Linked DNA regions of Kluyveromyces lactis. The protein of the gene in region 1 interacts with the protein of each later gene in a biochemical or structural test. Links are inferred from orthologs where the notes say so. Each region holds a gene or a part of one and is shown in the gene's direction. Other genes may lie near its edges.

The links.
Region 2: the proteins of CHS2 (region 1) and INN1 form a complex in vitro, tested with the Saccharomyces cerevisiae proteins (2 studies listed by BioGRID). The link is inferred for Kluyveromyces lactis from reciprocal best matches to the Saccharomyces cerevisiae genes CHS2 and INN1.

Annotation. Positions count from the first base shown.
Region 1 is NC_006040.1:307,089-311,584, reverse strand, and holds CHS2 (chitin synthase CHS2), read left to right. Parts: upstream 1-1,391; coding exon 1,392-4,148; downstream 4,149-4,496. Other genes in the region: OLA1 (Obg-like ATPase), read right to left, coding at 1-395; KLLA0_D03520g (M20 family metallo-hydrolase), read right to left, coding at 4,307-4,496.
Region 2 is NC_006037.1:996,719-999,879, reverse strand, and holds INN1 (Inn1p), read left to right. Parts: upstream 1-1,256; coding exon 1,257-2,423; downstream 2,424-3,161. Other genes in the region: THO2 (Tho2p), read left to right, coding at 1-992; KLLA0_A11550g (uncharacterized protein), read left to right, coding at 2,729-3,161. UniProt on the Saccharomyces cerevisiae protein: Required for the ingression of the plasma membrane into the bud neck at the end of cytokinesis, leading to the separation of the mother and daughter cells. Stimulates the synthesis of the primary septum (PS) by CHS2.

The DNA of each region.
Region 1 (4,496 bases):
ATAATTTCAGCATCATCGAAACAACGGACCACTTGGTAGATGGAATCGACAGATCTGATATGGGACAAAAAGGCATTACCTAGACCTTCACCAGCAGAAGCACCCTTAGTCAAACCAGCAATATCGTAAACAGTCAAATGAGCTGGAACTTTGGAAGCTGGCTTGTAAATTTCACTTAGAGTATCGAATCTTGGAGATGGAACAATGACTCTAGCTTCTTCTGGATCAATGGTTGCGAATGGGTAGTTAGCTGGGTTACCCAATGGACATCTAGTAATGGCTTGGAAAAAAGTAGATTTACCAACGTTAGCTAAACCAACGATACCTGCCTTCAAGTTATTACCTGGACGGCCTAATAGAACCTTCTTTTCCTCTACTTGCTTCTTTGGTGGCATGTTACTAGTGTTATACTAATTAATTCTTTTTACCTGGTTTGTTTGAGATACACTAAGAGAAATTGACAAACAGATGAAGTAGAATGTCTTAAAACTTCCAGATAAGATAATAGTGCAATTAAAATTAGTTTCAGACGATCGACTAAAATTCAAACCTCCCTTCTATTTCTCTTGATGAAAGGCTCTTTTGAAACTTGACTGTAGCAGGAAAACTTCATCTTCAACTTTTTCTTCAATTAGATGAGGAACAGGCGCTCGAAAAAATGACGAAAAAAATTTCAGCTGTCGCTATATACGGAAATCATGTGACAACTTTTTTTGGTTGTTCCTGTTCTTGATAAAGGAAGAGGGAAAAAGGTAAAAAAAAAACTTAAAAAATATGACACTAACGGGATTCGAACCCGTGTCACTCCCTCGCCTGGCACTTACCATTTCTGGTAGTTACGCTATTAATGGAAGGGGAGTATCCTAAACCACTAGACTATAGTGTCCTATTTTGTTGAATTGTTATATTTATAGACCTATATATTATGAATTATCCGCACTTTGGGTATCACCTTGATAGATTCGTTTTGTTAGAATTACCTGTACATACACAACAGCGGTTTGTAGATTCCCAATGACAGTTACCGCTATTGCAACGCCATGATGTGTTTGGGACTATATTCTAGTATACTAAGCTGGAGATCTTACCTCATTGCCCTTTTGTTTACATATCTTCCCAATTAGGAATTGTAAAAACATTGAAATCAATACAGTCCTTATGCATCGTTTCAACCCAAGAATAGAATCTTCCTCGAATAGAAATACCGTATTTCTTGAGCTTAGAAAATAATATTTTAATGAGCAGTTAATACTTCTTTCTCTTACAAGTTCTCAGAAGCTGTCAATATTTTTATTGTTGTGAACACACCCAGTTAATCACATTATCCAATCCCTTATCTTAGCCTTATTCGGCAGATACACTCTCTAGAAGTTGCCCTTTGCCTTTCCAATATGACAAGGAATCCATTCATGGCAGAGGATGAAGAGCCTCCAGTGATACGTTCTCCACAACGGGCTGCTATGAGAGCTAGTCAGTATAGTTACAGTGCTGTTTCATACGATGATGATGCCAGTCGTTTTCAAGGTTTTCCAGCAGTTGATAGTAATCCATCATCACCTTCAAAAGCTGCTGCCAGATACTCACCTCAGAAAATGAATAATACCCTTATCGATAGTGTGCACAATTCCCCACTGCCACGAAACAGGTACCAAGCCAATTTGCAAGAATCTCCAAGAAGAATGAATCATGCACTCATTGACGTTGAAAGCAATGATGGTGAGAGTTTGTATGACATATACACCAACAGTCCTACTAAACCAGGTCCTTTATTCCAAAGACTAACCTCAAATGAGACAGAATACACGTATGATAGCAGAAAAATCAGCGGAGAAAGTACGGTTTACTCAGGTGATACTTTCGGCGAGACGAAATTTGAATTGAATCATCCAAAGACACAAACTTACAAGAAGCGTGGATTATCTGAGGTGAGAAGACATCCTCCAGCTTTTAAGCAAAGAAGAATCTTGAAGCTCGACAACCCAATCCCAAGTGGATTGAGAGATATTATTCCAAAAAGAGATTCTCCGGAATTTACCGAAATGAGATATACGGCTTGTACCAGTGATCCTGACACGTTTGTTGAGGACGGTTATAATTTGAGAATGGCAGAAATGAATAGAGAATGTCAAATTACAATTTGTGTCACAATGTATAACGAAGACAAATTCGCTTTAGCTAGGACGTTACACTCCATTCAAAAGAACGTCGCCCATCTGTGCAAACGTCACAAATCTAACGTCTGGGGACCAACCGGCTGGAAAACTGTTCAAATTATCATTATCAGCGATGGTAGATCTAGAATAAACCAAGGTTCCTTGGACTACTTGGCAGCTATCGGTGTATATCAAGAGGATATGGCTAAATCGACCGTTAATGGTGAACCAGTGAAAGCGCATATTTTCGAGCTTACTACACAGGTGTCTATTGATGAGGAATTAAACTATAGAAGTGAAGGCACGGTACCTTGCCAAATGGTTTTCTGTTTGAAAGAAGAAAATCAGAAGAAAATCAACTCTCATCGTTGGTTGTTCAATGCTTTCTGTCCCATCTTGGATCCAACTGTTGTTACATTAGTGGATGTAGGCACGAAATTGAATAGTACCGCCGTTTATCACTTGTGGAAGGTGTTCGATATGGATTCCAATGTCGCCGGTGCTGCTGGCCAGATTAAGACCATGAAGGGAAAATTTGATATGAAATTATTAAATCCTCTAGTTGCTGCCCAAAATTTCGAGTATAAGATGTCCAATATACTTGATAAGCCATTAGAAAGTGTTTTCGGTTATATCACTGTGCTTCCTGGTGCGCTCTCAGCATACCGTTACAGAGCATTAAAAAACAATGATGATGGTACAGGTCCACTGCATTCATATTTCCTAGGTGAAACACAAGAAGGTAGAGATCACGATGTTTTCACAGCCAATATGTATTTGGCAGAAGATAGAATTCTATGTTGGGAATTAGTTGCTAAAAGGGATGAAGCATGGGTTCTTAAATATGTGAAAGAAGCAACTGGTGAGACAGATGTTCCAGAAGAACCTCCAGAATTTATTTCTCAAAGAAGACGTTGGTTGAATGGTGCTATGTTTTCAGCATTATACGCGCAAATACATTTCCATCAGATTTGGAAAACAAGACATTCGACAACTAGAAAATTCTTTTTCCACATCGAATTCTTATATCAACTAGTTCAAATGATTTTCTCGTGGTTCTCTATTTCTAACTTCTTCCTGACTTTCTATTACTTGGCAGGGTCCATGAATTCTATTATTCCCCATGGGGATGTACTCTTCACATTTTTCAAATACCTTCTGATTTGTAACCTCTGTGCTTTGTTCATTATTTCTATGGGTAACAGACCACAAGGTGCAAATCATCTTTTCATTTCTTCAATGGTCATGTTGACAATTTGTTCGACTTATGCTTTGGTTTGTGGGTTAGTTTTTGCCATCAAAACATTAGACGATGGAACAGAGGAACATTCGGTATTTGTGAACATTGTTGTCTCTTTACTATCAACTTATGGTTTATACGCTTTCACTTCCTTGTTGTACTTAGATCCATGGCACATTTTCACCTCTTCGGTGCAATATCTGTTAATGTTACCAAGTTTCATTTGTACGTTACAAATTTTCGCATTCTGTAATACCCATGATGTTTCTTGGGGTACCAAGGGTTCCACGGAAGCAGCTAAACCAATTCCTAGTGCAGAGGTTATTCAAGGTCCTGATGGTATCACAATTGTCACTGATCAATGGCCTCAAGATATTGATAATAAATACCAAGAACTGAAATCTAGGTTAAAAGAGAAGGAGATGGTTGAAGAAAAGGTCGACTTAACGCAGAAGCAAAATGACTATTACCGGGATATCAGAACCAGGATAGTTATGGTTTGGATGTTATCTAATTTGATTTTGATGATGATCATTACACAGATCTATGAACCTGAGGAAACGGTCAATAATATTTACTTGAAATTCATTTTATGGTCCGTTGCAGCATTAGCGGCTTTCAGAGCTACAGGATCAATAATCTTTTTGTTGATGAAATATTTACGTTTACTGATCAGCTGGAAGCACAAGGCCGAAGATAGCGGTTCATTAAACTTACCAAGTGTTGGAAACATTCTCTCTGTTGGAGAGAAATGAATCCACACAGTAGCATATCTTATGGAAGATAAATAGACAATCAAAACATAGTAAACAGATAAAAGTTTTTAGTAAGTTTACACAACAAATAAATATAAATTGATAACTTACAATTGTTTTGGACCTTTACTATAAAATCAAAGTTAGCTTTATTTCAATTAATGGCCGCGAGTTGCTCTATAGTTATCATAATTGATAATAGCTTGTAACAACACCTTGAAACCATCAGCTATTTCTTGAGGTGAAGAGTATTCATAATAGTTATGCGATAGGCCATCTTTTGATGGAATGAAAATCATAGAAGTTGGCACATGCGGTGCGGTTTGGCAAGAGTCATGACCGGCGCCC
Region 2 (3,161 bases), on another chromosome or scaffold:
ATCTCATCAAAAGGTACCAAGATATGAAGGAAGCTGCAAAAGCAGAGCAAAGTAGAAAGGAAGAAGCAGAATTGAAAGAAAAGGAAAGGGAAAAGGCAAAACAACAGGATGCTGAGAACGGTGCTGCAACATCTTCACTTACCGCACCATCCATGTCGTCCATATCCAACAATTCTCCATCTCCATCGCAAGTCATGGATGGCTTTTATAAGATCGAGAAGTACATTAAGGATGCTGAGTACACCAGAGCCATTCCCTTGATATACGATTCTAACACTCAGAGTGATTTTAGAAAATTGATAAAAGCTCCAGGCAACATCTCTGGATTTAGAAACAAATTGAAGATATTGTTCGAGGACTATTACCACCGAGTCACTAGTAATCCACCTGATCACTACAGATCTGTCTTTGAAAATTTTATTCAAAGATGCAAATCTGCTCCTTTGCCTCAAACCAAGACACCTGGAAGTATGTATGAAGATGAAGTAGTACCTGTTAAACCTTCATCGAAGTACAGTGGTGAAAGATGGAACTCCAACACTTCCAGTAACCGTCCAATACCTAGTGAACCAAGAAAGGCAGCTTCTTCTCGTTATCAACATGGTATAGCCTCAACAACTCTGCCAAGAGCACCAGCCAACGCGTCTAAGCCTCCGGATACTTCCTCAAGACCATCTGGTCCTGCAAGCTCAGGTTCATCTAGCAGATTCCAAAACACATTACCATCTGGCCCAAGAAAAGATTCGTCTAGCAACAGAAGTATCAGCAATTCAAACACATCACAGCTTCCTAGCAGACCATTCAATCAAGGGAAGAAATTCGTTAATACTCCCTCCGAACCACGAAAGAGGCAATCTGATGAATCTTACCAAAGTTCAAGCAGATTCTCAAACGTTAAAAAGCCTAAGTTGAACGATCGTTCTACAAATAACCAATCGCCATTACCATCTGGTCCAAAAAGACAATCTGGAGGATCGAGATATTCGAGGTGAATAAAAATACTTAACTCGACACTTAGTTAAATAGCATAGCATAATATATGCTACCAATTATCTTCGATTTTGTACGGTCTTTCCCTGAGACTCTGATGCTTCTTACCACGTAAAACTGTCAATATGAAAAATGTTGAAAAACATAGACCTATGTAAATATAAGATTGAATCAAGCTAAACTACATATTTACAGTTTGAATAGAGCTTCTTTATGGGTCAATAAGCACTGTTAACACCTTTCAATCGATATAGGCATTAAGTGTAATGAGCAATAACGTGATAACCGGAGCAAATGGTCGATTAGATGTTTATGTGAGTAAAGCGAAGGACCTTCCAAATCTAAGAAAGTTAGACAAGCAAGATCCTTTCGTCAAGTTAAGAGTAGCTCATCTTACGGAGATATCTCCAGTGATATACAGAGGCGGCCAAACTCCAAAATTTGATTACCATTGTGTTTTTCAACTAACGCCCGATATCAAGCCTCTACTCTGCGTTGAACTGTACGATGACCATGATCACAAACATGGTTCGAAGCTCATTGGGAAGTGCGATGTTGATCTTTTGCCTGCATTACTAAGTGACCCTGAAGAAGGCCATGATAGGTGGTATCATCTGAAGAGGGGTCCTTTGGAAGCTGGTAAGGTGTATATTGAATTGACTTTTGTTCCAAATAACATTAGCGAAGACAGACGCGACAATGTTCCAAAAATAAGTTCCAGTGTACAGTCCAGGTCAGTACCACCACTACCGTCAGATCCACCGGAGTTACATGCACAATATGAACTGCAGACATCGGCAAGTGAGCAGCGGTTCGTTGCTTCCGCATCCCCAGGCCAATACGTTCACGGCTCTCATATAAAATCTCCACTTCCTGATCTACCTATAAACCTCGATACTTCTAGATCATCACACGCTTCAAGTGAAAGAATAGATTTTGATTCATCGATGGGGTCTAATGCTACAGCAAATACCTATCATTCGCAACAAAGCCAATCTACTGATGGGCTGATGGACAAGTTAAAGCTGATCAAAGAAAAATTGAATTATTTCAAGAACGGCTCCTCGGTACCATCTACAGAGAGTATCACCAACACTGCGATGGATTTGGAAGTCTTACAGAAAGTGGTAGGTGGCGGTCTCGAGAGTAGCTCAAGCTCAAGAATACCAACGAACATTGACGAGCCATCGCCTATGAATCACCTTCCTACAAAATCGTTTGTTGAACCGCCATTACCACCTCTTCCGACTACGCCTTCAAGACTATCCAGCCAATCTTCAGTGAGACATTCAGCCGGACAAAAATATCCGTTAAAATCTCCTGTGAGACAACCTACTACTCCAAGGCTACCGAACTTGCCAAATTCTTTTTCTTCGCCTTCTTCAAGATCAGGCTCGGTTTCTCCAACAAGGAGGAGACCACCACCATTATAAATGACTTATTAGAACTACATAATCATTGATAGGATAGACAGTTAAAAGTTTTTCTATCACTACTCATATTAGATGTTCCTCTTATCTTCTCGAAGCCTTGGAATCTAAAATGGTTTCAATCGTTGCACCTTGAATTCTGTCAATGCTAAGCCTTTTTGCATGATTATTCAACCAAAGGGTCCTAAGATGAGAAAAGAATATATAAAGAAAGAACTTTAAAGTAATCGCACAAGAATACTCGAAAGAAGACTCTGCTGTATTATGTTTGATACTATTCGAATTAGGAACCTCACTGCAGTGGATTAATGATACGACAAGATGGTAAATTGATAATTCTGCCCAGTAAAATAACTGTCGGAAAACAGCTTGAAGTTGGAACATACTTCATGTTAAAACTGGGTCAAAATGCAATACGATTCAATTCCATTAGGGGAAACTTAGAACTTAATGTTAGAGCTGCAGACTGGGATACTAATATGGAGTTCATTATATTTAGGCGAAGGCCACGATTGAAGAATGATCTTCTTGGTTGTCGACGGAGGGACGTCCTAGACCAGGATTTTATTAATATCAACAAATTGAGACCTAAAGCACTAAGAGAATATTATGTCGTTTGGAAGTCTGTTGAATTGAATTCACTTGCAAAAGATGTCCAATTCATAGTAGACATCGAATTTTTCCCATCAAGTGGCCCTATTATACCTTTGAAAAGCCCACAAAGTCCAAGCGAGAAGAGCT